Danio rerio: one gene and its partners. The protein of the gene in region 2 interacts with the protein of the main gene of each other region in a pairwise test. Links are inferred from orthologs where the notes say so. Each region holds a gene or a part of one and is shown on either strand. Other genes may lie near its edges. The genes, in order: hnrnpd, hspb1, bag3, stub1, pelo and ppm1aa.

The links.
Region 1: the proteins of hspb1 (region 2) and hnrnpd come close enough for resonance energy transfer, tested with the Homo sapiens proteins (2 studies listed by BioGRID). The link is inferred for Danio rerio from reciprocal best matches to the Homo sapiens genes HSPB1 and HNRNPD.
Region 3: the proteins of hspb1 (region 2) and bag3 interact in binary tests that used the Homo sapiens proteins (3 or more experiments, as listed by UniProt). The link is inferred for Danio rerio from reciprocal best matches to the Homo sapiens genes HSPB1 and BAG3.
Region 4: the proteins of hspb1 (region 2) and stub1 interact in binary tests that used the Homo sapiens proteins (3 or more experiments, as listed by UniProt). The link is inferred for Danio rerio from reciprocal best matches to the Homo sapiens genes HSPB1 and STUB1.
Region 5: the proteins of hspb1 (region 2) and pelo interact in binary tests that used the Homo sapiens proteins (3 or more experiments, as listed by UniProt). The link is inferred for Danio rerio from reciprocal best matches to the Homo sapiens genes HSPB1 and PELO.
Region 6: the proteins of hspb1 (region 2) and ppm1aa interact in a two-hybrid assay, tested with the Homo sapiens proteins (2 studies listed by BioGRID and IntAct). The link is inferred for Danio rerio from reciprocal best matches to the Homo sapiens genes HSPB1 and PPM1A.

What each region holds. Positions count from the first base shown.
Region 1 is NC_133185.1:5,488,218-5,493,593, forward strand, and holds the start of hnrnpd (heterogeneous nuclear ribonucleoprotein D0), read right to left. Parts: upstream 3,311-5,376; 5' UTR 3,120-3,310; coding exon 2,959-3,119; intron 1-2,958. Other genes in the region: hnrnpdl (heterogeneous nuclear ribonucleoprotein D-like), read right to left, coding at 5,001-5,071. UniProt on the Homo sapiens protein: Binds with high affinity to RNA molecules that contain AU-rich elements (AREs) found within the 3'-UTR of many proto-oncogenes and cytokine mRNAs.
Region 2 is NC_133180.1:4,132,039-4,137,480, reverse strand, and holds the start of hspb1 (heat shock protein beta-1), read left to right. Parts: upstream 1-2,166; 5' UTR 2,167-2,230; coding exon 2,231-2,615; intron 2,616-5,442. UniProt on the Homo sapiens protein: Small heat shock protein which functions as a molecular chaperone probably maintaining denatured proteins in a folding-competent state. Plays a role in stress resistance and actin organization.
Region 3 is NC_133188.1:28,706,735-28,711,648, reverse strand, and holds part of bag3 (BAG family molecular chaperone regulator 3), read right to left. Parts: intron 1,028-4,914; coding exon 719-1,027; intron 1-718. UniProt on the Homo sapiens protein: Co-chaperone and adapter protein that connects different classes of molecular chaperones including heat shock proteins 70 (HSP70s), e.g. HSPA1A/HSP70 or HSPA8/HSC70, and small heat shock proteins (sHSPs), e.g. HSPB8.
Region 4 is NC_133199.1:43,371,571-43,377,050, reverse strand, and holds the start of stub1 (E3 ubiquitin-protein ligase CHIP), read right to left. Parts: upstream 3,738-5,480; 5' UTR 3,492-3,737; intron 536-3,491; 5' UTR 438-535; coding exon 315-437; intron 1-314. UniProt on the Homo sapiens protein: E3 ubiquitin-protein ligase which targets misfolded chaperone substrates towards proteasomal degradation.
Region 5 is NC_133187.1:13,767,662-13,772,575, reverse strand, and holds part of pelo (protein pelota homolog), read left to right. Parts: intron 1-337; coding exon 338-501; intron 502-1,655; coding exon 1,656-1,716; intron 1,717-1,802; coding exon 1,803-1,964; intron 1,965-4,914. UniProt on the Homo sapiens protein: Component of the Pelota-HBS1L complex, a complex that recognizes stalled ribosomes and triggers the No-Go Decay (NGD) pathway.
Region 6 is NC_133188.1:34,951,140-34,956,671, reverse strand, and holds the start of ppm1aa (protein phosphatase 1A), read right to left. Parts: upstream 3,511-5,532; 5' UTR 3,195-3,510; intron 1-3,194. Other genes in the region: dhrs7 (dehydrogenase/reductase SDR family member 7), read left to right, coding at 5,072-5,201. UniProt on the Homo sapiens protein: Enzyme with a broad specificity. Negatively regulates TGF-beta signaling through dephosphorylating SMAD2 and SMAD3, resulting in their dissociation from SMAD4, nuclear export of the SMADs and termination of the TGF-beta-mediated signaling.

The DNA of each region.
Region 1 (5,376 bases), on a different chromosome or scaffold from region 2:
AATAAAAGTAAGCTCACTCAATTGGCTAGTAAGACTGTCACACACAGAAGGCAGTCATGCATTTGCTCTGGGTGGGGGAAGTTAAATTTATATTTCATATAGCAGCCTCTTGCGATTAGCTAATCGAAACGATTCAAATCACGATTGTGATTCGATTTTGATTAATCGCACAGCCCTAGTTGCCTAGTAACCACATGCTGAGTGAAGCACATACTTCCTGTTTATACTTGAACATACATTGTATGGTCACATGATGTACGTTGTTTAGTAAAGCAATATGGTGTGGACGGAGAACTTTCCAGAAACAATAAATGAATGCTATTGTGGGCTTAGATTGTTTTTGTTCTTCAAAAAAAAAAAACTTTTCCTTAAAGGAAAAGAAAAAACAATTCAAAAAAGGAAATAGTGCAAATTCCTTACTTACCTTCCACTTGAACAGAACAAATGATATTTTGAATAAAGCTGAAAACCCCTTACTTCCATAGTATTTGTTTTTTCCCCTACTATGGAAGTCAATGGTTACAGGTTTCCAACATTCTTCAAAACATCTTTTGTGTTCAACAGAAGATAAAAACTCAAAGGTTTGGATTTGGAATCTCTTGAGGCTTGAGAAAATAGTGAGAACGTTTTAATTTTGAGGTAAACTTATCTCTTTAGAGTGATTTCTATCTGATTTTAATCAGATTTCAACTCGGGAGGGATAAACTTAACACACCAAAGTAGAGTAAATAGGTTACTTCATTTCATTTATTCTAAAAATGCCTGAGAACATGATATGGATTAGCATGTTTGTCAGACAGCAAATACTGGGTTGTAATTATATGTAATGTGATGTGCAGCACTGTGACTTTTAACATAAGCAGCTCATGATAACAGTGTTTTTAGACTCAGTGCACCTCGGTTCACTGTAAATAAATCCTGCTCTTCTGAATGCCGTCTTCGCGAATGCTGCATTTGAGTCTGAGTCGCTTATAGACCATTTCAATGTGGTCATGTCATTGGCCCATGAACATTTCCTGCATGTTATCAAACTATTTCATAACTGTAACAAGAGGCAATTCAATCGTAACTTGATAAAATAGCTGTCATAACATCATTTATCAATATGTGGCTCTTTTTGGATTCTCGAAAGCTACAGAAATAAAAAATGTAAAACAGGAAATACATTGGGACTATTGTTTTTGTTTACGTCCCATAAAATGGTCTATGATGTGCATTTGAAAATGTAACTGTGATGGAGTATCTTTCCAGGCTAGTCAAGAGAATCTGTTGATTAACAGAAGCATTTCATTATTTTCTTACAAAAATTAAAACAACCATAAATATTAGATTTAATTTTCATTTTAAAAATAAATTAGCATTGCAGATTAGCAGCAAAATAATTGATGTTTATTAACTTTCCATATTGACTATTACACGTGTATACCTGTAGTTATGACCAGTCTTTATAGGAAATAATAATTATATAAACAATGACTACCTTGTATGACTAGTCTAAGTAGTTTCTGCAACCGACCATAGATGATTATATTTCAGTCTTGTTTTGTCATAAAGTAATTCATTTATGCATACTAGACAAAAAAACACCATTCAGTTCTAAATCCGAGTTTCTCAAAATATGCTTTTGTCAAATTGACATTTGACAAAGCTGCATTTGAAAGGCAAATGTATTTGGAAAATGAGTCAACTTGCAGCTGTCCATTAAAGCGACAGTTCACCCAAAACAGAACATTCTGTCATCATTCACTCATCCTCCACTTGAACAAACCTCAATGAGTTTTTTTTTTCTGTAAAAACACAAAAAGGATATTCTGAACATTTTTGGAAATCATTGACTTCCACAGTATATGTTTCCTGCTATGGAAGTCAATGGCTACAGCTTGGCAACATTTTTCAAAATATCTTTTTCTGTGTTCAACTGAAAAAGGTTTGAAACCATTTGAGTGTCTTTCATTTTAGGGTGAACTATCAAACGAATATTAGGGAACACTTTACAGTGAGACGGGCAATACATCTGTTAAAGTATTTATTATTCTTTCATCAATTTACTAAATAAAAATTTAACTGATCATTGTTAATGCATGTAAATGACACAATATTACAGGGTTTCTGCCGCTTTCAACAAGTTAAATTTAAGATTTTTTAAGAAGATTATGAATGAAATTTTAGAAATATACAAGGCTAAATGCTAAGGATTTTTTTTCATTTGAATATTTTTACCTTTTGTCCACTGTATTTAAATTTAATAATACAATAATAATAATTTATTGATGAAAATATATAGGTCAGGTCAGTATCCTTGGCAGTAACTTTTAAACAAATGTTACTGTAAGTAATAATAACTTTATGGTATAAATGTTATTTTTAAAACGACTTTTATAGAGATTGGGAATGTATGGCTGTTAATGGCTAGATTTGGTCGCTACACATGAACAAGGGAAAATTAAGACCTGTTAAAAAGATTTAAGACCTACAACACGATGTTTCAGTATATTTAGACTTCTTAAAGCCTAAAATTTAGCTTTTGAGATTCAAGACAATTTTAGACACAGCAGATACCCTGTACTAGGATATGACTAGTAAGTTATATTTTAAACAAAAGATAGAAAACATTTTAATAAACCTTCATTTACATTAAAATCACCAAATGCTTTGAAAGCATTTCAATTGATAGTCCACATTAATTACTACAAACGTATGCAAAGCGATCAATCGATACTCCGACACACATATTCATGTTATTTACACAACCGGCCACTTTTGATAACGATATTAATATTGCATAATGACCACAAATATTAATGCAATGATTATAATACTTTAAATTAATATAAAACGATTCCTTGTTGATAATTACTCATCTAATCGACTACTATTGGGAAGCGATGTATGAACTCAAGGTTATTTTATTCTTCGGTTACAGTCTGTTCCCATGGTGCATCAGGAGCCGAAACTCACCCTTCGTCCTCCTCATTTTTACTGGCATCAATCTTGGAGCCCTCGGCTTCTCCCTGTCCTCCATTATCCCCCGACATCTGCTCTTCGCCGAAACCTTCTCCATCATCATTTTCCTCCATCTTCATCGTCGGGTCTTCGCCCAGAAACTGCTCCTCCGACATATTTGATCAACTATTGGCGAAAACACGCGCGGCTACAGTCGTTTCTACAGACGAAAACGTCTTAGGTCGTAACCGAAGCGAAATGCCTATAAATCGTGTTAATGCGGCTCAAATTCGCGTTTGTATTAGTCTGATTTCAGAATGTCGATGGCAACGGCGTCCATTCACAAAATGGCGGAGAACCGGAAGTTGAACGGGATGGCGTCACTAAGGTTACAAAATACGTCAACGTCGCTTCACGCTCATTGGCTGTAGGGCTGGAAATCTAGTTTGTTTATCTCAAACCTTTTAAATGCATAATATTGAATTATTATATGTACATTACATATTTTAAAAAAACTTAGTCATAAATGTTGTATAAAATAATCACACGACAAAGAAACATTGGTTTTCTCAGAATTTTTAATCCCTTTATCCAAAAACGTCAGGAAAAGAACTAAAAATACAAAATAAAGGACACTTTTCCTAATCAAGACTTAAGAACACATCAGCACAAAACCTACAGGTTCAATCTGAACAAAGCACAGAATAAGACAAACTTGGGAAACGAAACACCTCGCTATTTACAAGGTTAGACACTGGATTTGTCCCCAGAGGACCGAATAACGTTTTTAATAGTTGTTTAAGGACAGGATTCCACACAAGCTGCCTCCGAGGAGCAATGTCGAAGTCAACCTGCCCACCTACAAGAGAAGAGAGCAGAGATGAATCACCCGGTTTCCACACCTCGAGCAAAGCACGTCCATGTTTCAGTGTTTAACTTCTTGAGCTGTCGATTTTAAACTAGGAAAACCATCATTAAGGATTAAAGATCATATGTTAAACGTCTCCGACTGACAGAACAGCTCATAAGCCAGCAAAAGCCTCAGCTCCAAGCGGTTTGTGGACCAATCGAGGAGCGAGCCCAAACAGGTTAGCCTTTATCCTGTGTAAACGGTATGGTTATTAAAAACTTTAGCCAATCCTTGAACTGTTTTAAATCAGATTTCTCAGCTTTTAATGGCTTCGTAAAACTCACTTTACATATGATCTTTAAAGGCTATGCTTAAGAAAAAAGCACTGAGGTGTACCCATTTGAAGTTCTCTATGGCCTCTAAAGAAAAAGCAAGCATTATGAGAGAGTTTATGCAATTATTTACATGGGGAGGTAACCAAAAACCAAACATTACAAAGAAATAAATTAATAAATCAATCACTGAAGCTCCACAACTGAAATACAAGAGCACTACAATTGAAAAAAAGAGCATACAACAAAGCAGTTATCAATCACTTTTAGGTTACATTAACAAAGTCCTGGAAAAAAACATTTGGAACTGTTAACGAAAACCAACAACTTAATGAAATGGGGGAAAATCTCCTTTGTTTGTTTGTTTTACGCTGGTACAGGAAGTTGGAAGAGACCATACCACAGGACAGCGCTTTCTCGTGCATGCCGTGCTCTCTGCCCGCTATGTGCGACGCCCAGAGAATGACGTGGTCAGGTGACACACGGCCTGCAATGAAGTCCCCGCTGGCAGGTACAAACAAGGTACAATAATCAGAATTAGGGAAAGAAAGGAAAAATAAGGAGAGGCGCCTTTTACTCTGTACCCTTTTAGCCGTACATTACCTGTTAGCATTGCTATCAACTTTTTCTATGTTATTCCTTTATGATCACCTGTTAAAGCAGGAGGAGAAAATGGAAAAAACCTACAGAAAAACGCTTACGCTTTTCTGGCACGCTAAAAAAAGCAAAATGGCTACACAAACAGGTGCAATTAAAGATCTATAGACATGTACTCTACTCCTTAGGCTGTTAGTTTATTGTCTATTGATCTTTAATATTGAGGTCGAGCTCAGAGCGCAGCAAGTAGGCAATCTTACCATTGTTTCGCCACTTCATCAATACGGCTGGTAGCTGTTCTGATGGTTTCCGCTGTCCCGTGAGGCCTTGCCATAGCTGCTCTGTTGACCTATAATTTAATATATACAGTGATGAGGCCCGGTGTAGCAGAAATGCAACATGTATGTGAAAAAAACTAAAAACACAATATTATGTAAATCAGTGTCTCAACCATGTTCCTGGAGGACCACCAGCTCAGCATATTTTTCATGTCTCCTCAACTAAACCCACCAGATTTAGATCATCAGCTCATTAGCAGAGACTGAAACCCATCTAATGGGTGTGACGGAGAAAGGAGACATCCATGCAGTGTTGGTGGTCCTCCTGGAATGTGGTTGAGAAACACTGATGTAAATGACAGTCAATGTGCATTAA
Region 2 (5,442 bases):
AATGTTGGAACTAGATTATAGACATTTATATTCACACACAGGGATGCCAGCAGCAACAGCACAGGTGTGATTGAGCAGCTGTTGTTATTATAAGGCTGTGTTTCTGCTGAGTCGCTCTGTCTGTGTCTGCTGTTCAACAATCCTCACATTCCTGCTGTCCACACACTGCAGCCTGTGTTTGTGTTTGACTCCAGAAAGTAAAGCTTTAACAGCTCTGCCTTTTTGGGATGCCTACTTTATCAAGTATGACATATGAATTAGTGGTTAAAATAAAATAACTGGTGGCTCAATGGTTAGCACTGTGGGTACTCCGGGTGCTCTGGTTTCCCCCAAAGTCCAAACATCATATGCACTATAAGCGAATGGATGAACTAAATTGTCTGGTGTGTGTGTGTGTGTGTGTGTGTGTGTGTGCGTGCATGGGTGTTTTCCACTTCTGGGTTGCTGCTGAAAGGGCATCTACTGAGTAAAACATTTGCTGGAATAGTTGGTGGTTCACTCTGCTGTGGCAACCTCTGATAAATAGGGGACTAACCCAAAGGAAACCTACATTCATCTTTACTGCTTTACTATTATTTATCTTCCAATATATGTAATGCAGTGGTATTTTGAAAACATTTTTAAGTGTGCCAGAGTGTCCAAAAACCTTATGATAGTAAGGTTTATAATATAATTAAGTATAATATAAATAAAGGTTTGCTCTGCTTTTTTGTTTTTTGTTTTGATTTTGCTTGTTTTGATTTTGTTTGTTTTGTTTTGATTTGTTTTGGGTTTAGATTTGATATGATTTGATTTGTTATGTTTGGTTTTGATTTGTTTTAGGTTTTATTTTCATTTGTTTTGGGTTTTGATATGATTTGATTTGATTTGGGTTTTAATTTGATTTGACCTGATTTGATTAAATTTGATTTAATTTGATATGATTTAATTTTGTTTTGGTTTTATTTGTTTTGTTTTGGTTTGATTTGTTTTGGGTTTTGATTTGATTTGCCTTAATTTGATTTTATTGCATTTGATTTGCTAAGCTTTGTTTTTGATTTTATTTTATTTGATTCACTTTGTATTTTGTATTTTGTTTTTGGTTGATTTTCACTTTGTATTTTGTTTTTGGTTGATTTTCACTTTGTATTTTGTTTTTGGTTGATTTTCACTTTGTATTTTGTTTTTGGTTGATTTTCACTTTGTATTTTGTTTTTGGTTGATTTTGTTTCATTTCTTTTGCTTTGCTTTGTTTTTAATTTGATTTGGTTTGCATTTTGTTTTGGTTTGATTTCCTTTGTTTTTGTTTTGTTTTTTGCTTTGGTTTGATTTAGTTTTGTTTTGCTATATAATAACATAATATAATATACAGGCAGGGTGTGTGAAAAGTGTTTATATACAGTCAAGCATTAAATTATTCATACCACTAGCCAATTCTAACTCAAAGTTTTTGTTCAAATGTAAAATGTAAAAAATAAAACACATAAAAATTCTGCATTGAAAAAAAAAGTCCATGATTTCAATGGTTAAAAATGCTACGGTAAAAAACCATAACGATTTTTGTAAATTATACAGTATTAACTGTGGTGTGAACTGTATTTTACTATACTGTAAAAAAAAATAATAATAATAATTATATATATATATATATATATATATATATATATATATATATATATATATATATATATATATATATATATATATATATATATATTTATTTATTTATTTATTTCACACAGCTCTACAGTTTCAGACATTTCGAATAATTAATACAAAATAATATAAAGATAAATAAGTCTGTAAAATAACAGAAAATGTAATAAGGGCAGTTTATTATAAGGTTTTTGCAGCGTAATATACAAGACAATACATCACTTTAAACTAAAATAATAATAAAAGTCAAGGTTCAGAGTTGTTAAAAGAAAGATCAAGCTCCCAAAATGCAATTCAAAAGTCACAAAATACAAAAAACTTGAATTCACCAACATATTGTTCACAGTCCAGTATTAAATACACACTATCAGCCTTTGCCTCAGATTCCTTCCTCATGCGAGGGCCGTCCCTGAATAGACTTTCTAGTCACTTCTATAATTATCCGGACGGGACTGGGCTGTTGCAGAAGTGTCCTGAAGTGGGTGTGTCCTCCAGAAAGCCTTCTTATAAAAGTCCCAGCCCCATGCAAACAATCAGAACACACACACACACTCTGAACCGAGCCGAAAAACAACTCTTCAAAACTTCTGCAGCAATGGCCGAGAGACGCATCCCATTCTCCTTCATGCGCAGCCCGTCCTGGGACCCGTTTCGGGACTGGTATCAGGGCAGCAGACTGTTCGATCAGTCTTTCGGGATGCCTGCTTTATCTGAGGAGATGTTGACGTTTCCCAGCACGCACTGGCCAGGGTATATGCGACCATTCGGACACCCCGAATTTGCTTCTTTAATGCAGGGCCCACCTGTGATGCCTCCTATGATGACCCCGAGTTACGGACGAGCCCTTTCTAGACAGCTGAGCTCTGGGATGTCGGAGGTCAAGCAGACCGGAGACTCTTGGAAGATCAGCCTAGATGTCAATCACTTTTCCCCCGAGGAGCTGAACGTTAAAACCAAAGACGGGGTGCTGGAGATCACTGGTGAGTTTATTTGGTTTGATTGCATTTTGATTTGATTTTAATTAGATTTTCTGATCTTTTTGTTTTGATTTGATTTAATTTGGTTCCATTTGATTTGATGTTAATTTATATTGTTTTAATTGAATTTGATTTGTTTTAATTCTGTTTGATTTTATTTTTTATTTGTTTTGTTTTGGTTTGATTGTGTTTGATCTAGTTTGATTCGGTTTGATTTGATTTTACTATTAATTTGATTTGATTTGATATTATTTTAATTTGTTTTGTTTTAATTTGATTCTGTTTGATTTGATTGCTTTTAATTTAATTTCAATTTATATTTTAATTGAATTTTATTTGTTTTGTTTTAATTTTGTTTGATTTGATTTGATTCCATTTTAATTTATTTTATATTCATTTAATTAGTTTTGTTTTGATTGTTGAATTAAATATCATTTAATTTATTTTATTTTACTATGTATTATTTAAATTTTGTTTTGTTTTAATTCTGTTTGATTTGATTCCATTTTATTTTTCATCAGTTTAATTTGTTTTGATTTGATTTGATTCCATTTGATTTGTTTTTTTTCTGTTTGATTTGATTCCATTTTATTTTATTCTAATTTATATTATTTTAACTTGATTTGTTTTGTTTTTATTTGAAACTGTTTGATTCTGTTTGACTTCATTTTATTTTATTATCCATTTATATTGATTTGATTCAATTGGATTTTTATTTTATTTCATTATCCATTTGATTTGCTTTATTTTCTTTTGATTTGATTTGAGTCCATTTGATTACATTTTATTTATATTATTTTAATTTGATTTTATTCTTTTTGATTTGATTCCGTTTCGTTTGGTTTGATTCTGTTTGATTATTATTTTTTATTACAAAATTTTGTATTATTATGTTTTATTCTATTTTATTTTATTTGGTTTGATTTCATTTTATATTATTTTATTTCATTTTGTTTTGATTTGATTCTGTTTGGTTTGATTGAATTTGATTTGGTTTGATTTCAATTTATTATCTTTTTTATTTGATTTCATTTATTATGATTTTTTAAAAAATTATATTATTATTATTATTTTTTTTAATTCTGTATGATTTGATTCAAATTTAATTTTATTATCCATTTAATTTAATTTTATTTCATTGATTTTACATCATTTTAATTTGTTTTGATTTGATTGCATTTGTTTTGGTATGATTCTATTTGATTTGCTTTAGATTTTATTACACATTTGATTTGATTTTAATTTATACTATCTTAATTTTAACTATTTGTTTGGTTTTTATTTGAGACTGTTTGACTCCGTTTGATTCTGTTTGACTCGATTTGATTTCATATCCAAATTGCAATTTTTATCAAAATAAATTATTAAAAATATAACTTTTAATAATTTTGTATTTAATTTAATGTCATGAATGTTTATCACTTATTTACAGAATGTCTTCGATATTGTATCTAGTATCATAATTATGATATTATTTAAATTGGCAGTTTTAACTTCATATATTAAAATGATGACTTTTTCCCCAATATTTGACTTTATGACAGTGTCTTTTTTGGCTTAGTCAGACCTTTTAATCACGACTTGTAAAATATGTTGGATTAAAAATGCTATTCAAAATAATAATGACACCCCCCAATGATTGTGTTTGTCCACATTTGATCCAACTTTGTGTTTTCCAAAGCATGCTTTATTATGTGCACAATTACAGGCTTGAGTGAGGAAGAGAGGTGGTCAAGTGTGAAATAAATGCATGAATAACAGGCCTTGCTGGGAGACCTTTTGTATTGTGTCGGGTGGGAGCTGACAAGAGCAGCCAGCTAAATTCCTGAGATATTACGACGCCGGAGCCAAGCACAGTTCAAAACAGCATCTGCAGGATATTTAGAGTTGAACAAGGATAAAGCTATACACTAAAAAAATCTGCATCCTCAACCTAAGGCTCGGATGTTTAGTTTACCCAAAAATGACAACTGTTTCATCATTCACTCACTTGTTTTAAACCTATTCGACTTTCTTTTTTCTGTTGGGCATAAAAGAAGATATTTTGAAGAATGTTGGAAACCTGTAACCATTGACTTCCATAGCATTTGTTTTTCCTACTGTGGAAGTCAATGGTTACAGGTTTTCAGCTCTCTTCAGAATATATTCATTTGTGTTCGAGAAGAAAGAACATTTAAAAGGTTTGAAAAGGTTTTGTGTGAACTATCTCTTTAATACTCTTACTATAAAACATTAGCAGTAAAATATAATCTTTAAAATGCTAATTTCTTTGCTTAAACATGCATTTATGCAAATATATGCTCTATAAATACAAGTTTGACTATTTTTCTAAATATTTTTATCATTTAATTAAAAAAAAAAGTTACAATTGGAACTTTGCAAGAACATATTTATTTAATATCTAATACATTTAAGGAATGAAGCATATCTTTTTTAATGCAATTCTCCACTTAGCCTGCAGTGGACAACCTTTCTGGCTATATTTTCAATTATTAAATATGTTAATATGGCAACATATTGCGCTCTTCAGACTTTACATGAATAAATCTGACAGAGACTCCTCCCCCTCCCCATCAGTCACTAATAAACTGTATTAAATACCTTAGTTATTACTACAGTAAACTGTGGTGTATTGTAGTATAAAGGGACTTTGACTATAGAGTTTGATTCAAAACACAGTATTTACTATGAATTACCATATTTAAACTTTAAATATATAATATTCTGTTCGTTTTGATTTAGTTTGATTTAATTCAGCTTGATCGCATTTTATTTATTTTATTTTGGTTTGGTTCGATTCAGATCAGTTTGATTCTGTTCAGTTCGGTTT
Region 3 (4,914 bases), on a different chromosome or scaffold from region 2:
CTAAATTGGCCATAGTGTACAGGTATGTGTGAATGCGAGAATGTATGGGTGATCTTCAGTACTGGGTTGTTGCTGGAAGAGTATCCTCTGCGTAAAAAATATGTTGAGTCAGTTGGCGGATCATTCCGCTGTGGTGACCCCTGATAAATAAAGGGACTAAACCGAAGGAAAATGAATGAATGAATGAATAAGCTAAATAGTAAACAGAGACTCAGCAATGAAATGCTTATATACAATTTTCATCAGATGTAATTTTTCAACACCCTATTAAACACCATTTTTTTAAATGAAAAGTCAGGGCATCAGGAAGATTTTACAAATGAAGAAATTTTCATAAAAGTAAAAAATTAGCTATTCATTTATTCTGACTTAACTCTGAGATAAATTAAAAGTTTTCTTTAGGCTGTGCCATAAATGTAATAGTAAATAATATTTAGTTTCCTGCACTGATTGAAGTTTTGTTTCACGTTTCACGAAACCTCAATATATCAACAGGAGATATCTGTTTTGTTTTGCCTCGATATCCTTTTTTTGCTGTTTTAGCTAAATATTTTCTTTAAAATCCTACTAAAGAAAATCTCAGCGACATATTCGATGACCCAAGGGCAAGTAAATTAACAACCAATTTTACAGTGAACTATCCTCTTAATGCAAACCTTTCCCAATAAACCCAAGACAGAGACTGCCACTTCTATAGATTGCTTTCTCATGATCTTACCTCAGGCCCGTGTGAAGTAGGTGAGCAAGACGAACATGCTTCTGATGGGGTCTGCACTGGAGATCTAGGCCGACAGTGTGCTGCTGGCGTTGGGGAAGGTGTACGTCCATCTGTTCTCAGATTCTGCTGCACCGCTGGATGAATGTAGGAGAAACTAGGATACTGCTGCAGCCTGGGTTCAGGGTTTTCATGACAGACAGGGATGGGGATGTAGCCCTGCCGGAGCATTGGCTGCCTCATCTCATTAATAAAGGTTTTGTGCATGTCCTGAGGAGTCTCTGGGGACATTGAAGGACCATTGGAAAAAATCTGAAACAAGAAAACGTAAACAGTTCAAACTCTTTTCCATTGCAATTGGGTGAAATATTTCACACCGTAATGCCAGCAATTCTTTATACGCCGGTCTACACAAGCCTGATAAACAACATCACATCTGATGATACTCTTTAGCTGTGAAGTATTTAGTAGCTGTCTGTGAAATTGCTTTGGAGAAGGCAAATAACAAAAGCATGCAGTTGACTGGGTTATTGAATAAGCTCCAGTTATCAATACTGTCATTACAAGCATCATGGCGAAATTCTTTGACTTGCTCCAATAGCTTGGCTATGACTAAAGACATAAAAAAACAATTCAGGGGTAATGGTATGTAGGTGTTGTCTGTGAAATAACACTGCTGCAAATGTAAAAACCAAAATAGGGACAAACATTTCTACACTCAATAAAACAACTTTTGCTGCTTATTCAAACTACTTATTTAAAATGAGTTGAAACAACACAATTCTTTTGTGTTTTTTGGACAACTTAACTGTTTTATGTTCATCCACTTAAATTTGTAAAAACAATTAAGTTAACTTAATCGATTTGTGTTGGGACAACATGAAGGAATGGGCTATATGCACAGCTAGTGTTTTTCAGCCAATGATGAACTTCCGGTGAAAGGTTTATGTGACTATTTTCAATTTCATAAGGTTGCTTTTACAGCATCAATGTTGTGATGTATTTCAAATATAATCAGTTAAATAGATTTAAGCATCCATTTAGTTGTTAAAGCGTAAAAAAAGATAAAAGATGCAGGTGCCGTCATTAGCAGCAGGCTAGCGCAGAAACTCCATTAAAAATACTGGGGTAAAATAAATTTTCATATTTTAAAGACACGGCACGGATATTATTTAACGCAGTGCTTCTTGTTTGGTCTGAGACCTACTAAATATCGTATCTCAGCTAGGCAGAGATGATCACTGTTTTTTTTTTTTTTTTAAAGAAATCACATTTAAAACGCTGAGATTTTGTGTGAGATGACAATTCACCAGAAGCCCTGGGCCTGGCTGACTGAAAAGAAAAGCCTATGAATATACCCCATTGTGTGGAACCACAGAATTTTTACAGTGTAGTCACACTTTTATAAACATAATAGGAAATCATTCATTCATTTTCTTTACGGCTTAGTCCCTTTATTAATCCGGGGTCGCCACAGCAGAATGAACCACCAACTTATACAGCACGTTCTTACGCAGCGGATGCCCTTCCAGCCCCAACCCATTTCTGGGAAACATCCACACACCCTCATTCACACTCATACACTGTGGACAATTTGGGCTACCCAATTCACCTGTACCGCATGCCTTTGGACTGTGGGGGAAACCGGAGCACCCAGAGGAAACCCACATGAATTCAGGGAGAACATGCAAACTCCACACAGAAACGCCAAATGACCCAGTAGAGGCTCAAACCAGCGACCTTCTTGCTATGTGGTGACAGCACTACCTGCTGCGCCACTGTGTCGCCATAATAAGAAATCACTGTGTATTAATAAGACACTGTCTAGTATACTGTATTTAAAGATTATCCAAAAATGAAGTTTGCCTTTCTTACTTTAGTGGTTCTAAACTATTATGAATTTCTTTCTTCTGTTAAACAGAAAACAAGGTATTTTGAAGAAAGTTAAAAAAACAGCTATTCACATCCATACTAGGAACAGAAAATAATATAGAAGTCAATAGTTTTTTTTCCCCAAACATTCGTCAGTGTAACTTCCTTTGTAACAAGTAACAGAAGAAAGGGGGAGAGTAAATCATGGCAGAATTTACATTTTTGGCTGAACTATCCCTTAAAATAATATTTAACTCAGCAGTGTGGTTCTGGAAGTAAACACTCCATTCATTCATTCATTGATTTTCTCAATATGAACATTGATTTCTTTAAAAAATATATCTTTGAGCTCCACTATTGTTAATCAATGATTTTGTTTAACAAATGCCAGCAGGCACACAACATCATAAGACATTATTATTAGGTTAGATTTAGGTTGTCTAGCCAGCATCTAAGGACAACAATATTGTGAGGTCCAATAACAATGTTGATATTTGGTTGATGGTATGTTGTGTTAAAAAGTGATCAAAAAACCAAAGTCGAGCCAACCAACATCAGATTGACGTCCTACACTGACATTTATTTTTTAGGTACGGGAACCAAAATCCAACGTCTGACAGACGTCATGGTGGTAATGTCCACACAACGTCAAGCTGCAAAATTATTAGACTTTGATATTTGGTTGATTTTTATTTTCAAACAAAATGCAACGTCCCACAACAGTTGAGTACAACATCAATTTGACGTCATGTTGACATCCTGTGCGTGCTGGGATCTGTTCACATTTATTTAACTTAGCACACTCAAAAATATATTTTGTTGCTTCCTCAAACTACTTATTTATAATGAGCTGAATCAACACAATTCTTGAGGGGTTTTGTGGGATAACTTAATTGTTTTATGTTCAATTAACTTAAACTTGTAAAAACAATTAAGTTAACTTAATCAATTTGTGTAGAGACAACATGAAAAAACACTATTTGTGTGAATAAACCATCTCAAAAGACTTCTACAACTCATAGTACTTACATATTTACAGTATAATTCCATTAAGTCCTTTGAAATGCTACAAGCCGTTCTTGTACTTTTGTCTTTGAGTCTGATTTACAAACATTTCTTTGCTTTTAAAGCAGTTTTAACTGTGGGATTCACCTCATTTTTAGTTTGGTTCATAGCTTACAACCCTTCAACAAAGATGTTATAAAATATCCGTATGGGTAAAAGAGGCTATACCAGTGCTGTTAAACAGTGGGCACTAATGCTTTATATAATGCTATCAGTTTAATGATGCCCATTTTGTGAACTAAAAGTCACTCTAGTATTAGGCATGATGCATTACGTCATGTGATTAACAGTATTTTACACCTGCTAAATCTTTCCTGTTAGCCTCACATCACTGTCAAGTTGTAGGCTTTTACAACTAGTCATATTCAGTCACATGCGACTTTCAGCCGTTGTAAATCTGTCTAACGTAAATTGATATTAGGTTATTGCGGGCAATCAACCAACAACTTGCTAGCGTGTTGAGTCACTGCATTATTCCAGTAAGTAAATGTAAATCTTAAAGCCCGACTGTGGCTTGCGTCTCTTCTCATCTGTTTGACATGCAAAGGTCAATCCGCCCTCTCTCAATGACGAGGCAGTCCAGGATTTAAGCATGAAATATGAGTGGGTAAAACTCACTGTGCACAGCAACTGTTAAGCGACTGCATTGGCTTACAGGATATACCCTGTATGCTGTAGATTCTAATGCCATGACTCACTCTAGGTAGCATTTTTCAATGGGGTTCTGTGCTGTTGACACTGTGTCTTAAAATACTCTTTGTGAGGGGGAGGGCCTCCCTTACTCATCAATGTAAATTAGAGGTGCATAGACAAAACAAACATCAAACAAGATAAAATCCCTAGCATATCATCACAAAACACCTATTTTGATGTTGAAACAGCACAATTACATAATTTAAAAGAGGGGCTTTCACCAAGGGGCTAATGAATAAAAAAGATATGGTCACATTTACTGTATTCAGACTAATTTTGCAGATAAAATACAGTCATTTCAATTGAATTCAACATTAAAAGATTTCCCACACAGATTTTGCTTATGTTAAAGTGATTTTTGTGTGAACTGTGCTCTGTAAAAAATAAATGTTATTTTACAGGTAACTGTCTGTTATTTGTCTGAATCAATATTGGAGTTACTTTTGCACGCTGGAGGAAGGACAACACCATAGCCGAAGTATTACTGTTAGACAGGTAATGTTCTGTTTTAAAACTATTTTAGTCAGGCTAAGCTTATGTTAAACTCTGTTGTGCTTTGAATTGCTTAT
Region 4 (5,480 bases), on a different chromosome or scaffold from region 2:
CCTAACTTCACCCTAATTAACCTAGTAAAGCCTTTAAATGTCACTTTAAGCTGAATACTAGTGTCTTCAAGAATATCTAGTCTAATATTATGTGCTGTCATCATGGCAAAGAGAAAATAAATCAGTTATTAGAAAGGAGTTATTATAAATATTATGTTTAGAAATGTGTCCTTTAAACAGAAATTGGGGAAAAACTATTTACCAGAAGGTTTAATAATTCTGAACTTTCTGTGAGTCTGAATTTCTCCTAAACCCCCCGCTGTTGAAACTGACACACATATTTACTCTGTGTGTTCCCAGCACCCCTCACTCACGATGGCTTTGCTGTAGCAGGTGACGGCCTCCTGGTACTTGCGGCTGAGGAACAGGCGGTTTCCCTGCTCCTTCAGCTCCTGTGCGGATGAGCTTTTCTCTGGGCTGCTCGCCATCTTCTCCATGGGCTCTGCGGTGGCCGCTCCCCCCTGCTTCCCAATCCTGTTCCCCGTCTCTTCGGTGAGCACCGGCCGGTCCCGGGGAGCCAGTTACCTGCAAACCTCTCAGAAACACACAAGGAAAATATGAGCCACAGTAATGCAGGTGCAAAATCATAACAATATTCTTATGGGGTCAATTTTATTAGCCACCATAAGAATATACATTCAAAACAGTTTGTTAGAAACAATGATATGCTTTGCGTGTTTGTTTTTATGTTTATATAAGTGCTATTTTCATTTATAGCTCTTGATTTTTGCATTGATTTTTAATATCTCTTGTTTAAATACACTATGAACAGCAGCTACGCTAATTATTTTCTTTATTTTCTATTTCCACCTGGGGATACTCATCCCGAGGCCTCTAGAGATTGTGCAGCGCCATTGATGTGATCCAAGACCTGTGAAGAAATGATGCCAACCGCAGAGCACTTCTAGAGGTCTCCATAATCCTGGACCAGGCCGTATCCTGAGCAGATATCAGGGCCGGAGTGGGACTCATTTTCAGCCCTGGAGTTTCAAGCCAGACCAGCCCACCTCGACTGATTACATTAAAATAAGGTCATTTCCAATTCAGTTTCTAATGACACTATCACATCTTTTTTGAGAAAACAGCTGCTTTAGAAATTCAAATGTTCAACAACCCTTACAGTATTATGTCATAAAAACGAAAAATAATAATAATAATTTTTCAGGTGAGATTCGAACATGGGTCGGAAGTTTCGCAACGCAACGTGCTTTCCACTGGACCACAATGGCGCTATTCCAGTGGGAATAAAAAATAAAGATTACACTGTGAACGGCAAGACATAGTATTACTTTGATGGCTAAATCATTTTCTCCTTTTAGATTTCTGATCAAGTTTTGTCAGATTTAATGTAGTAAATCATCTGATTTTCATTGAGCAGGTGTATTATTCATTAATATTAATTATTCAAATTCTTATAATCACTAAGGTGCCACTGTTTGGGGTCGAATGATTAGTTACATCATCATTAACGTTAGTAAACCTGCAGGCTGCATTTTGCTCACGGAGCAGCAAGAAAAAAAATAAATAAAAAGAGCGGCGCTGCGGCAAAATAATGAAAAACAAAAAAAAAGAGTGAGGCTATGGTCAAATTAATAAATAAATAAATGAAAAAAGTGTGACTGCTGAGAGTGCAAGCAGCTAGGGACACTGGCCCTCACGGCCAAAAAACGGACCGACCCACCAGGAATTCTCTCGGTTCGCCAATCCGGGCCTGGCAGATATTGTGGTTGTCATGGAGGAGCTGAGAGCATAAGACTGATGCCTGAATCACCCCAGTGACAAACAAGTCCTCACATTTATCAAGTGGGCCAGCCTGAACACACGCCGGTGACCTACTCACACTTGCATCTTCTCCACGATGGACATCCAGCGTTCTCCAGCCTCCGGCGCCTAGACTGCTTTTCTGCAGTTTGGTCAGAGGAGAAATGGTCGTGCCCAACAGAGCCGGTTTCTCTCCAGGTTTTTTCCTTCACTTCAATCACGTCAATTGGTGAAGATTGTTCCTTCGCTGTTGCCACTGGCTTGCTTGGTTTGGGAATTGTGGAGCTGCGCATCGATGGATTTGCTCTTCAGTGTTTGAACTCTCAGTATTGAATATTAAACCACACTGAACTAATCTAAACTGAACTCCAACTCTGAAAACTGGACTGACAGTTTACACTATCACTATATCACTATAATCTTCTATGTTAAGCTGCTTTAACACAATCTGCATTGTAAAAGCGCTACAGAAATCAAGATATTTTTCAATTAGCTACAGAACAAACCATCATTATACAATGACTTGCCTAGTTAACATAATTAAGCCTTTAAATGCTGAATACAAGTATCTTGCAAAAACTTGCACGACCCTCAATTGGTACTAATGGACCCAAAGTGTGCTAAAAAAATCTCCCCCACACCAATACACCACCACCACCAGCTTAAACCGCTGACACAAGGAAGGATGGATTCATGCTTTTATGCTGTTGACGTCAAATTCTGACCCGAGCATCTGAATGTGTCAGCAGAAATGGAGACTCATCAGAGCAGGCAACGTTTCTCCAATCTTCTATTGTCCAGTTTTGGTGAGTCTGTGTGAATTGTAGCCTCAGTTTCCTGTTCTTAGCTGACAGGAGCGGCACCCGGTGTGCTCTTCTGCTGCTGTAGCCCATCCGCCTCAAGGTTGGACGTGTTGTGTGTTCAGAGATGCTCTTCTGCAGACCTTGGTTGTAACGAGTGCTTATTTGAGTTTCTGTTGCCTTTCTATCAGCTGGAACCAGTCTGGCCATTCTCCTCTGACCTCTGGCATCAACAAGGCATTTGTGCTCACAGAACTGCCGCTCACTGGATATTTCCACTTTGTCGGAGAATTCTCTGTAAACCCTAGAAATGGTTGTGCGTGAAAATCCCAGTAGATCAGCAGTTTCTGAAATACTTAGACCAGCATGTCTGTTATCAACATCCATGCCACGTTCAAAGTCACTCAAATCCCCTTACTTCCTCATTCTGATGCTCGGTTTGACCTGCAGCAGATCGTCTTGACCATGTCTACATGCCTAAATGCATTAAGCTCCTGTCGGTGAGTGTATACTCTACATTTTTCTGATTTTGATTGAAATGTATTAACGTGCACCTTTTGTAGAGCTGCTGTTCATATAGTAGAAATGATTAAAATGAATTGTTTAATGTACATCACACACACACACACACACATCTGGACAACAGTAACACACATCTGGACACTGACAGTTGTGTGAAATCATTCATGACTCTTTATGCAGCTCTGTGAACTTAAAACACACACAATCCAACAGTTAATCACTAAAATTAAGCACTACCAACGAGTAAATGTAATTTCACGTCGATCAGAAATTAAACTCCTGTGCCTGACACATAAGCACATTCACACACACTTTACAAGCTAACAACCAGGTCAGCGCTGAGAATAAACACGCTTAGAGATTAAATCAGATGGTTTGAATATGAAATATGGATTATTTGAGGCGTACCGGGTTTGACTGCTGGACTGACGCCTGTCGTTAGCAAACCGGTAGCGACACTGGTGCTTTGATGATCACTTTTGGATCCCTGATAGCGAATGAAACGCGGCCAAACTCATATTCCGACTCGATCATGACATTAAGATGACAAATGTCCGACGTTTTCATCGGCGATCCTCAAAAACACGACATTTTACCCGCGGGTGTGAGACGCTAGCATCATGTTTCGGTTGTTTTGACTCTGCCGTCACTGTGACGTCGCCGGAGGTGACGATCGGAAGCTCGTTGCCAACGTAATAACGCCACCTGTCGGCGACGTGCAGGAGTTTAATTTCATAATAATAATAATTAGATAAAATATATAAATAAATATGAAAACAGTTATAATAATAATGCTTGATTATTATCATTATTTATTCTACATTTTACACGTTTTTTTCCGGTTACACATTTTAAAAAGTGTTCTAGAAAAGCATGTAATAAAAATATAAATAACTGACTTAATTTCTACTTCAGCATATAATTTTGAGCTTTCTAATGACTTTTAATTCTTATGACTTTAATACCTTATTTATAATTTTGACCTTTAAGTAACAGAGTAAGCCATAATTGCTCATTTTTTATTAAGAATTACAAAAAAAGTCTTAATTTCTTCTTTAAATATTTTTTTTCATGTAGTTATAGAATTTAGCTATATAATTTAATATAAAAATACATCAAATGTCTTTAATTCTCCTGTAAAAATGTGCATTTTGTATTTAATTTTTGTTTAGAGACATTTTAGAGTCACCCTAAAAAGCTGCATCATATTTTAGGTGCAAAACAATGAGTTTGCTAAAATGATGTGAATAATTTAATAATAAACATACTCAAATTCAGATTGCAATATAATTTCTTGCTGAACACCAAACACATTCAGAAAAATAATATATTAACATTAAAGAACAGTAAAAGAGTCACCAAACACCATTTCAGTTCATAAACCATATAATGCACTTAAATGAGGACAACATGAACAGTCGACAAGTAAGACAAGTAGAAAAAATACATGAATCAAAATGTGAATAATTATGATGATAATATATAATTCATTAGTGTTATCATCATTTTTACTCTACATTTTAGTTTTTTTGTGATTATTAATTTTAAAACTTTAAAAATGTTCAAGATAATGTGCTTTCTTATCACTTCTAATTTTGATTTAGGTATAACATTTCTTTTTTTTAATACCCTATTTATAATTTTGACCTTTAAATAACTCAGAGTAAGCCATAATTGCTCATTTTAATTAACATTTATGAAGAATGCCGTCATTTCTTCTTTAAATTTTTTTTTCATGTAATTACATAATTTAGTCATAGACTTTATTATAAAAATAAGTCAAATGTCTCTAATTCTTCTGTAAAAATGTGAATTTTGTATTCAGTTTTTGTTTAGAGATATTTTAAAGTCCCCCCAAAATAGCTGCATCATATTTTAGGTGCAAAACAATGAGTTTGCTGAAAATGATGTGAATAATAATAAATGTACTCAAATTCATGTTGTAATGTTATTTCCTGCTGAACACCAAACACATTCAGATAAATAATATATTAACATTAAGAAACAGTAAAAGAGCCCTCATTCACCAAACACCATTTCAGTTCATAAACCATATAATGCACTTTAATGAGGACAACATGAACAGTCGACAAGTAGAAAAGTATATGTAAACAAATGTGAATAATTATAATACATAATTCATTAGTTTTATCATTAATTACTCTACATTTGCAGTTTCTTTGTGATGATTAATTTAATAACTAAAAATGTTCAAGATATTGTGCAATGATTTAATTTCTACTTAAGCTAATCGTACTTTTGAGTTTTTGTATGATTTTAAGTATGACATTTCTATTTTTTACCTTTTAATTTGACCTTTAAATAACTCATAAGACTTAATTGCTCATTTTTAAATTAATAATTACAAAAAATGCCATAATTTCTTCCTTTAACATT
Region 5 (4,914 bases), on a different chromosome or scaffold from region 2:
CAGCTGTGTTTGATTAGGGTTGGAGAAAACTGTGCAGAGCTGCGGCCCTCCAGGAATTGAGATTGAGACCTATGACCTAAAGGCAAAGTTCATCCAAAAACTTTTGATTTACTCATTATTTACTGTAGTTCCAAATGCTTGTGTGTTGCTCTGCTGACTCTAATGCCAAAACATCATACTGCCTGTATTATACGCGCACCTTGGAAACATTGGTGAACAAAGTCATTCGAGTTTTTTTGGGGGGTGAACAAAGCCTTAAATTTTTTTTTTACGTGAAATACATTAAATTGACGCAATGCCTTAATAATTTCTAAACTTGCCTTTATTAAATCAACAGAGCAGGCATGTGATCCTGCTCAGAAAGCAGATGTGGCCGCTGTCGTGATGCAGGAAGGTCTGGCCAATCTGGTTCTTGTGACTCCAGCCATGACCTTACTAAGGGCGAAGGTTGAGGTCACCATCCCTCGCAAGAGGAAAGGCAGTTGCACTCAACATGACAAGGTGAACCAAACTTCTTTTTCTGTGTCATAAATAGTTTTTATGTATTCCATAATTTTTTTTACAGGCAGGGCTGCACAATTAATCAAAAAAAGGTTGCGATCTCGATCCTACACACAATCTCAATTCAGCTTTTCTACCAGTTATATTTTCATGGTGAGGAGAGAAGCTTAAAGGCGGTTGCACAAATCTTCATATTGTTTTACATACTTTACTCAGCAACATGGACACCTCCAAATGGCATAAATGTGTCACACACTGCATCTACAAGGTATAATTCACCCAAAAATGTTGTTACTGTCATAATGCAATGACGTATTTGCGGCTAAGAAATGACCCCTAATCTGACGAATCTGATGTTTACTACTGATAGGACACTAGCCCGCCAATGATGTTAACTTTAGTGAACAAAACCTGCATAGAGTGTGAATAACAGGTAATAAAGTTGTAAACAGCGTTCAGTTTGTTGCACAGAGTGGTCATTTGGGAGCTGCGGAGAAGGTATGATTAGATTGTATGTTTTTTTTTTTTTTTGAATATTATAATCCAACTTTAGAATTATGAATGGTTGTATTCTGATGTCATCACACTGTGCATTAATGACCAGGACATATTTATGTCTGTTTAAGTCCACCATTCCAAGTCTATACCGAATTAAGCATTTTAACCAACATTAGACCTACACATAGGCCTTATATTGTTGTTTTACCATATGTTTCACAAATAACAAAAATAATAGCCTATTCGTATTAACCTTTATTTTAATGTCTACACAATCGTGAGAAAATTGTGATTCTTGATTTTAAGCAAAAAAAAAAAATATATGATTCTAATTTTAGCCAGAATTGTGCAGCCCAACTGTAAGGTCTCAATTCTACACATTAGCTGTTCTAATGTCAATCCGGTCACATTGACCTATGAAGGGTCCTCATTGCTGAACATTTTCATTTTTTCAGATATTTATAACCTTACTCAGACCTCCTTATTCTGTTAATGCTACTGCATTATTATGATGTTTTTTAAGTCCAAGTTTTTCTTTAATCAATAAGATGTTACTTGCTTTTATGAAACAGTTCTTGTTACAAAAGATGTCTCTCAGTATTTGCATATCTCAAAATAAGATGCTTGTTGCATACTAACACTGTGTTCTCTTTCAGGCATTGGAGCGATTTTATGAGGCTGTAATGCAGGGCATTCTGAGACACTTCAACTTTGATGGTATCATTATTATTATAACTTATTAATAATGAAGATAGAAAGTGGATAAACAAACACGGGCATTTGACTGTATTTGTGTTTTTCAGTGGTGAAGTGTATTCTGGTGGCCAGTCCAGGTTTTGTGAAAGATCAGTTCATCTCGTACCTCTTTAAAGAGGCTGTGAGACAAGACTGCAAACTTCTTTTGGAGAACAGATCCAAGTTCATGGTGGTTCATTCCTCGTCCGGACACAAGTATTCTCTCAAAGGTATATTCAAATTTCATTTTAAATTGATTGATTGATTGATTCATTTTCTTTTCAGCTAAGTCCCTTTATTAATCAGGGCTGAAAGAAGATGACAACTTTATGAGAATGAAGATATTAGTGTTATCTACCAGTAAGAAATTAGCCGGTTTGTTGATTTGTGTGATAAAAATAAGCTAAAAATAAATACTAAGAAAACTGAAGAGATGGTATTTGACCCAAAGTATAGGTGACCATCATCAAGTGATTGTACATGACCTTCTTATCACTCAGTCAGAGACCTATAAGCACTTGGGCATTTACCTTGATAGTTCTTTTACATGAAAAACACACAGAGTGTGTAGATTGTATTTTTTTTTACAGAGGTTACATCTTTTTTTGGAGTTAAAAGAAGCTTATGATGCTGTTTTATGAAGCTGTTCTGGAAAGCATTGTTAGATATGGTATCACAGTGTGAGATCTGTGTACAGATCTATCTGTACAGTGTAAATCTAAGTTTATGGATTTCTTAAGGACAGGATGGAAAATTGTTGGGCATGATGAATATTTTAATTCTCAAGTTTTATATGAGAATTGTGTCCTCAGTTTGGTGGAAAGGATTCTGAATGATCCAATTCATTGTTTTGTTTCCACATTATGAACTACTTCCGTCTGGTAGGAGATATAGAGTCCTAAAGTGTAGGTTGAACAAATATAAGAGAGCCTTCTTGCTGTGAGGCGACAGCCCTGCCCACTGCGCCTCAGCACCGCCTGTTTTTATTTTATATTGATATAAAATATAAATGATTAATGTCTGTGTGAAATCAAAGTTTACTGTGTATATTTGGCTAGCTCACATTATTATTTTTTAAGGTAAATCATTAATCTGTGCAAGTTAATACACTGAAATTTTTTATTTTGTTTTTTGGTAATATTCAATGAAAGTTTGACCCTTTCGCTTATGGAGTTGCGGTCCTTCAGTTCACTTCAACCTGAGGGTCTCCATAGCAACTACATATTAATACCCTCTCTAAAGATTTTTGCACACTGAAGTCCAAAATTTTAGTATGTGTTTTTTTTCGTATTTAAAAGCGAAAAATTCCTTGCACACTGAGCCTGATACGTATTAATTAATCCATTATGAAAACATTTTAAACATTTTCGGAGTCAGTTTTAGCAGTGATACTTTTTTTTCTCTCTCTTCTCCAAAGTAGAAAAAGGAATTGGCAGCATATTGTGTTCATCTAATATTGGATGGAAAGGAAGGAGAGTTCAGCCCATTATCAAAGAGCTGCGCTGAATTATCCCGAAATGCAAAGTTTATTTCTTGAAATCAGTGGAATTTTGATAGATTGCTTGTGATTCTTCACACATTCACATACATAAACAGATCCTGAACAGAGATTGGCAGTATGCTTGGAAATTATAATAGATGGCACATTGACGTGTTGAAGCAACGGACCGGAAAGTGGATATATTATATTATATCTTAGGGCAATACTTCAAATGTATGGACATACACGCACACACGCCAAACAGCAGCAGGGCAGAGGTGCGCCAGTCACTGAATCCAGCATATAGGCCAGGGGTCACAAATCTTGTATATGGAGGTCCGGTGCCCTGCAGGGTTTAGCTCCAACTTGCCTCAACACAGCTGCCTAGGTGTTTCAAGTATACCTAGTAAGACCTTGATTAGCTTGTTCAGGTATGTTTGATTAGGGTTGGAGCTAAAATCTGCAGGATACCGAACCTCCAGGAACAAGTTTGGTGATCCCTGATATAGGGGTTCTGAACTATCTGCTACATTTTGTCATTTTATGCACTGTGTTTGTCATAAAGTTATCTGTTACTCAAATGACAGCAGTCTGTATTTAGCTTTTTGCTTGTAGAGTAGCTGTTTTCATCCACCTATTTTTATGTGCATTTTGGATATGCGCATAAAAAAAAAAAGGTTGATGGAAACGGCAAGATGCGCATAAATTTTGAAAATGTGCATACAAAACATATGCGCATAAGTGAGTAGGATAAACATTTTATTCGATAAGAAAATATGTGCATAAACTAAGATGGAAACACTTTTACCGCACAAATTTCAGTATGCGCATGTGATTATTGTTATAAGAGATCATGTGTTGATAAAAAAGTGTGTAAATAGACAAATCATTTGAAAAGTTGTTTTGTTTGTTCTAAATTGTCGTAACCATTTCAGTATTAGTGTTATTACATTATTAATTACCTCCAGAACTGTCAAAAGTGTCTGTGCCCCCAATTTCACGCATTCAAACACCACCATTTGTTCAATGCGCGTCGGCATCGTCTTCTGAAGCGCAAGCCATTTATTAAATTAGTAAAAGATTGACGCAGCTTCTACCGTAGCAAATATCGTTTTTACTGTAGATATTTGCCTCCAGTTAATCTGGAAGTGACAATTTTTGTTCTCTTTGACTGTTTGGATAGAAACACTGCTTTATTCACACGTCTTTGTTGTGAAATTCCAGTTTTGCTCATGAAATTGATTTGAATATTTGGATGGAAACATAGCTGGTGGCTCTGAACTGTCAAAACACTCTCAAAGTGCTTTTTCGGATGCGAAAAGTGGAAAAAAATCAAACCCGGTTCGATTTTATAATGGACAAAAGTTTTGGAGGCATTGTGTCAATACGATTCACACAACATGAGGTTGAATTAATTGGTCATCCTTTATTTTGATGGTCAGTTTGTTAACTTTAAGTTACATTGCATCTACATGCTAACTAATTCTCATTAAATTACAAGTAGACTGTAAGGTTGGGGTTAGAGTTAGTGTAAGTTGACATGTACTTGCAAACTTTCTTATAGTCAGTCAAATGTCTGTTGAATATCTGTATCAAAACTGTATCAACTGTATCTTCTAATACTCAAATGGGCCATCAAGTGTTACCAATTAAATTTTTAACGTACAAAAACCGATTCAAGCCTCATTCACATGACGAGG
Region 6 (5,532 bases), on a different chromosome or scaffold from region 2:
GTGACTGACTCTCTTGATTTATTTAAGAAACAAAACACCAATGTGATTCATTTAGAAACAAAACACCACTGTTTCTCTGAAATACATAAAAGCTCTGCTCTCGATTTGTTTGGAACCATCTCTATTCCCACAAAAAAAGAGAATGTTTCCAACTGCAATTGTGCTCACTCTGTGATACTTAGCAAAGCTAAACTATTGCTTGTGTGATACTACTTAAGTAGATCATATATTTCTTGTGAATATTAAAAAACTAATACAGAGATTTTTTGCTTTGAGAAATATTCTAACTGCATTCCATTGAGGTCCAGCATGCTGTGAGTGCTTTTAAAAGTCAGTAGCATAACCAGAGTCAGCTTGCACATTGTTAAAACAATAAATACAATATAACTGTAGATAGTAAGCATCACCATTTGTGTACCAAGAGGACAGAATTAAAAGACTGCGTGATTCGCCCAAATAAAAACAACTCTGTGTACAATATCTAGTTGTCCAGTGATAATGCTGGATGGTGCTTATCTTTAAAAATAAAAAATATACCTCTACTAAAATAAACTGATATTTTTACTCATCATAACCTTTCAAGTTACATAATCTTTCATGCAATAACTGTTAAACATCAAACAACCTTGTTATTATTCCAGCAATACAGTTGTACAGAGTAGTTAACTTGCATATAAATGCACATAATAGAACAGGCCAATTTAAATGACAGTTTACTCTGAATTTATTTTATGTACTCACTCTCCGCTTGTTCCAAACCTTTATGATTTTTGTTACTGAATTAATACAAAACACAATATAATTTAGTTTTCTGTGATATGAGCACATCTTTCCCAGACGGCTTTGATAGCTCTGTTTGGAAAGAATATACCATTTTAGATTGATTGGGATAGTTCTGTATGGAATGCATCTCCATAAAATATAATAAACAATCTACAAGTGTACTTGGATGCAATAAAAAATGATACAAATGAAATAAACAGTGTTTTATCATTTTCTGAGGAGTCTAAGAATATTGTGGTGCAGTAATTGAAAAATAAAATGTCAAATAATACAGCACAGTCTTCCAAATGGTACAATTTCTTATGCCTGGATGCTTTAAAAAACCTCATAGTCACAGGCCTCAAAAACAAATGAAAATTTATAATTCAGACTCAACATTGCATCCTGCGATGTGTCTATTGCAAATTATCATATTGCGAAATCCATGCTGAAACAAAGTATGCAGCCCTAATATGTACAATAATATCAACTATAGATTTTGAAGTATACTGGTTTAAAAAAAATCAAGTATATTCTTTACATGCAACCACATGATGGTAAATATTTTTTAAAGTTGTTATAAAATGGAAAAGTAATAGATTTTCTAATATAGAGTGGAAGAGATAAAAATAAAAAATAAACCAGAATGGGAATTTGCTTGTAGATTGGATGGAGGAATCCGATTCTGAATCCAAGCATGCAGTTTATTGGAAGAAAGATGTAGGGTTTTGGTGGACTAAATCAGTGGTTTTCTTATTAAGTGGTTGTCGGGACCTTGGTGACTTTCTAAAAATCTCATATATTTTATTAAACTATTAAAATTATCATATTTTATCAATTATTATATTTTATTTGTGACCCCTAGGGTTATTGTGCTAGATTACCATCAGAGCAATATCGTTAGTTGCAGCAGATTGATTTTGCGGTACAATACTAAACTAACAATTTAATGGCACTCACATACATTACAAATAAAGGCCACGACTGAACAAGGAGGATGATCTCCTAGTGGTTCCAAGTCTCCAAATATAAACTAAGTCTTTTGCTATAAACATTGTGCTCACCATTCGCATTAAATGAGGTTAATATTAAATTAAACAAATGAATAATGATAATAAATATATATATATATATATATATCGTTGTAATACTGTTGCACTTTTTTGTGTTGCCAATATGCTTGTGTTCATATAGTTCCCACTGGTGTGTGCACCATTGTGTGCAATATTTGTATGCGTATAACCACCTCCAAACATAGTGGGGTCGGTGAGTCACTGGAGTTGTTATTTTAGGGGGTCATGGGCTGAAAAGTTTGAGAACCTCTGAACTAAATAGATAGAGAAATCAGACATACATCACTAGACAAAAGTTTATCATTACACAAGAAAGCCGAGTTAGAGCCGAGATTTCTATGTAAAAAGGGCATTTTTGTTTTTTCCTGATTTTAACAACTGGTTACATTAAATTTGAATGTAAATTGTAAATATTTTTTACTTTAAACACACACACGAAAGGTAACACACCCAGCACAATCCCTCTATTTATAATTCATGACGACTGAAACTACAAAAGTCTTGTCATGCCAGTGGCCACTTTAGAAATAAACCATGGCATGCCACCAGGAACAAGAAACAAGTGTAAACACACACACACCATCACAAAGGCAGGCGGACACACATTAAGCGGTTTTCCAGCCATGTATGGCTGTCAGCAAACACACCGCTAAGCACACTACACACTCGCATACTAAAAATAGATAAGTACAGATGCATTCTGACCATTGTTCACCGCTCACATCAATTACGACTTAGTCTAAACACAAAACCAGTGCCATTTACAAAACCCCAGCCTTGAACTATGTACGCGTTTGACTGATACACACTGTAAATATGATCTAGACTCAGATTAGGTTTACTACTAAAGTAAATTCATGGTTTACTGCGAGATATGATCAATCAATGTTCTTTGCCCTTAGCGTTGAACAGCAGTGAACTGAAATTCTGCCCGTGCAGACCTGCTGCACGTTCACGCGCCTGTATTCCGCATTACGTCATGGTGTCGCGAGCCTGTTAGCATGCTAGCTTCACGCTAACGTTGACGTTTGGGACCAATCGATTCGACCGAAATATTTAAACAACATGAAATATGTCAGCGCATGTAATCAGCACATATAATTGGCTATGTGCCCAACAAAAATAATTTTCAATATCTGAGCCAGGACAAAATAGCACGCTAAATGCTAATTGGAGGATCGTGTGAATCCGCGGGCTTGAGTTGCCAAACCTGCGGCCCTCAGCGCACCATGCGCAGGCCACACACGGCAGGTCAGACCGCTGAGCTCACACAACGCCAGCCTACTCCCTTAGCAAACATGCTAACAGGCTAGCTCTGTCATTCACACACAGGTATATTACAAGAGCACAAACACTTACCCCCTAAAAATCAGTCCTGGAGAGTTCGGTGGTGAAGGAGGTAAAAAAACAGATCAGAGAGAAGGACGAAAAGAAAGAGAGAGATATAAAGCGAGCGCGGCGGTGGTGAGAGAGAGACAGGCTGGCGGATTGTTTTGCTCTGCATTCAGTCAGTGAAACAGCGGATCACCCATATCTGTTTAAACCAGGGATGCATCATTCCCATTTATTCTACGTCCTGAATGTTGGTGGAAAATGAAAAGTGTTCGGGTTTGACCGCTGTTTTGGTCCGCTATGGTCGGGACCGAATCTCTGCACACCAGCAACAGCGCAGGACCCGGATGTGGATTCAGCAGGGCTGCGCACTTAAAAGAATGACATCATCATCATCATCCCTCCATCAACCTCATCCCTCCATCTGTACATCATTCTGTCTCGCACCTTCCTTCATGTACATAATTCTTTCACCACTGTCTCTAAATCATCTGTCCTGCGTTTTTTATTTGTCTATCACTGGTCATTTTTGAAAAACCCTAACATGTGTGAGGCTGAAAACAAGCTCTCAGTGCCAGGTAATAACAGAAACACTGTTATAAATGCATGATAATATGTTAGGTGAAAAGATGAACATATATTTCATGTGCTCTTGATAAGGTTTGAGCCCTAAATTAATAGTTTATTGCATTGCTTATATCATGTATCATTTTTCTTTTTTCTGTGGATGTCAATGGCTACTGGTGGTTTCCAACAGGTAACAGGTAAGGTGAGTACCGACATGGAACAACCTATATAAGGATATATGTGCATATATGAAACCTATATGCAGTATATATGCACATATATGATATATACAATGCATGCATATATATGCCACATAAAGGCAAAATTGAGGTACATATATATACACAGGTCATATAGGTCTCATCTATCGCTTCTTTATATCCACATATAAGCCCTGCATATAAAAGACATGTCTTATATAGCTCATATTTCACTTTGGCAACTGTCATACATGATGCCTAGCTCATATTTTCAAGGCATTAACTAAGAACTAACAAAAAATGCAAAAAAAATAATAATAATTATGTAAGTGTGAACACTTGAAATTTATATCACATGTAATTGTCATGTTATGAAATTTAACTATGGCAAATAAGTGAGAGCTCACACAGAAATAACCTATATAAACATATGTTTTAATATAGGTTTTAAATATATGTGACATATAAAATTATCTGTTTCCCTATATATGCACATATAATATAGGAAAATGGCAAATTTTATATATGTCACATATATTAAAAATCTAAATTATAACATATATGTTTATATAGATTATTTGAGGGTAAAAATATTTGTAAAAAATTTAAATGTTTCATTACTGCAATAAAACAACAAAGAATACATTTTTCTTTTTTGATAACATAAATATATTAAAATAAAGACAAAACATAACATGAATAAAACCTACCCATCTGTCTCTGTCTGTCTATCTATCTATCTATCTATCTATCTATCTATCTATCTATCTATCTATCTATCTATCTATCTATCTATCTATCTATCTATCTATCTATCTATCTATCTATCTATCTATCTATCTATAAACTGTCTGTCTGTCTGATAGATAGCCAACCACAGACAATATTATAATTTCTTATGTCTATGTAGCCAACAGAGCAATAATCGATGTTCAGCTGCTCCAGTGAGTACCAGAAACAGGGATGTGACCCGGAAGACTTCGAATCACACACAGACGCTACCGGGTAGTTGTTGTTTCGGAAGAAGCCGTTAAGCATGTCATAAGTTGTAGCGCAGGGATTTGTCAGCGCTCCGGTTGCGCAAGTTTCACCAGTGCTTCCGTCACTCTGTGAAGGCATAACAAGTGAAGTGTCTCGATGGATATATGCTGGCTGTGTGTTGGTCTTGCTGGGACCGCAGTTTATTTACTAGTGCAGTTCATACGCTTCATTTTCGCCGACGCTGATCTGACTTTGTTATGGGCGGCCAGGTTCGGCAAAACACCAGGTAAAACCGCAGATTTCACCTAGAATTGTGTAGTATGAGCACATTTCTTTTTATACTGTAATACGTTTGTAGTTTACAGTGTATAAAAATGTGCTGCTGTATAAATCTATTAACCTCTGGGCTATTTATTATGCAACAAAGTCAAGTGCTGACGCATTTCTGCAAGATGTGGAATTTGCACTCTCTAACACGAACTATCAGTGCCCTAACTAGTGTATATGTATAGAGGTCATTATTGTAATGTGTAAAAAATACAGTTTATGGATATGTAGTAGTTGAATTAAAAGATATTTGTATGTGTGTGGTTTTGTGTGTTATTTACGTACTATAT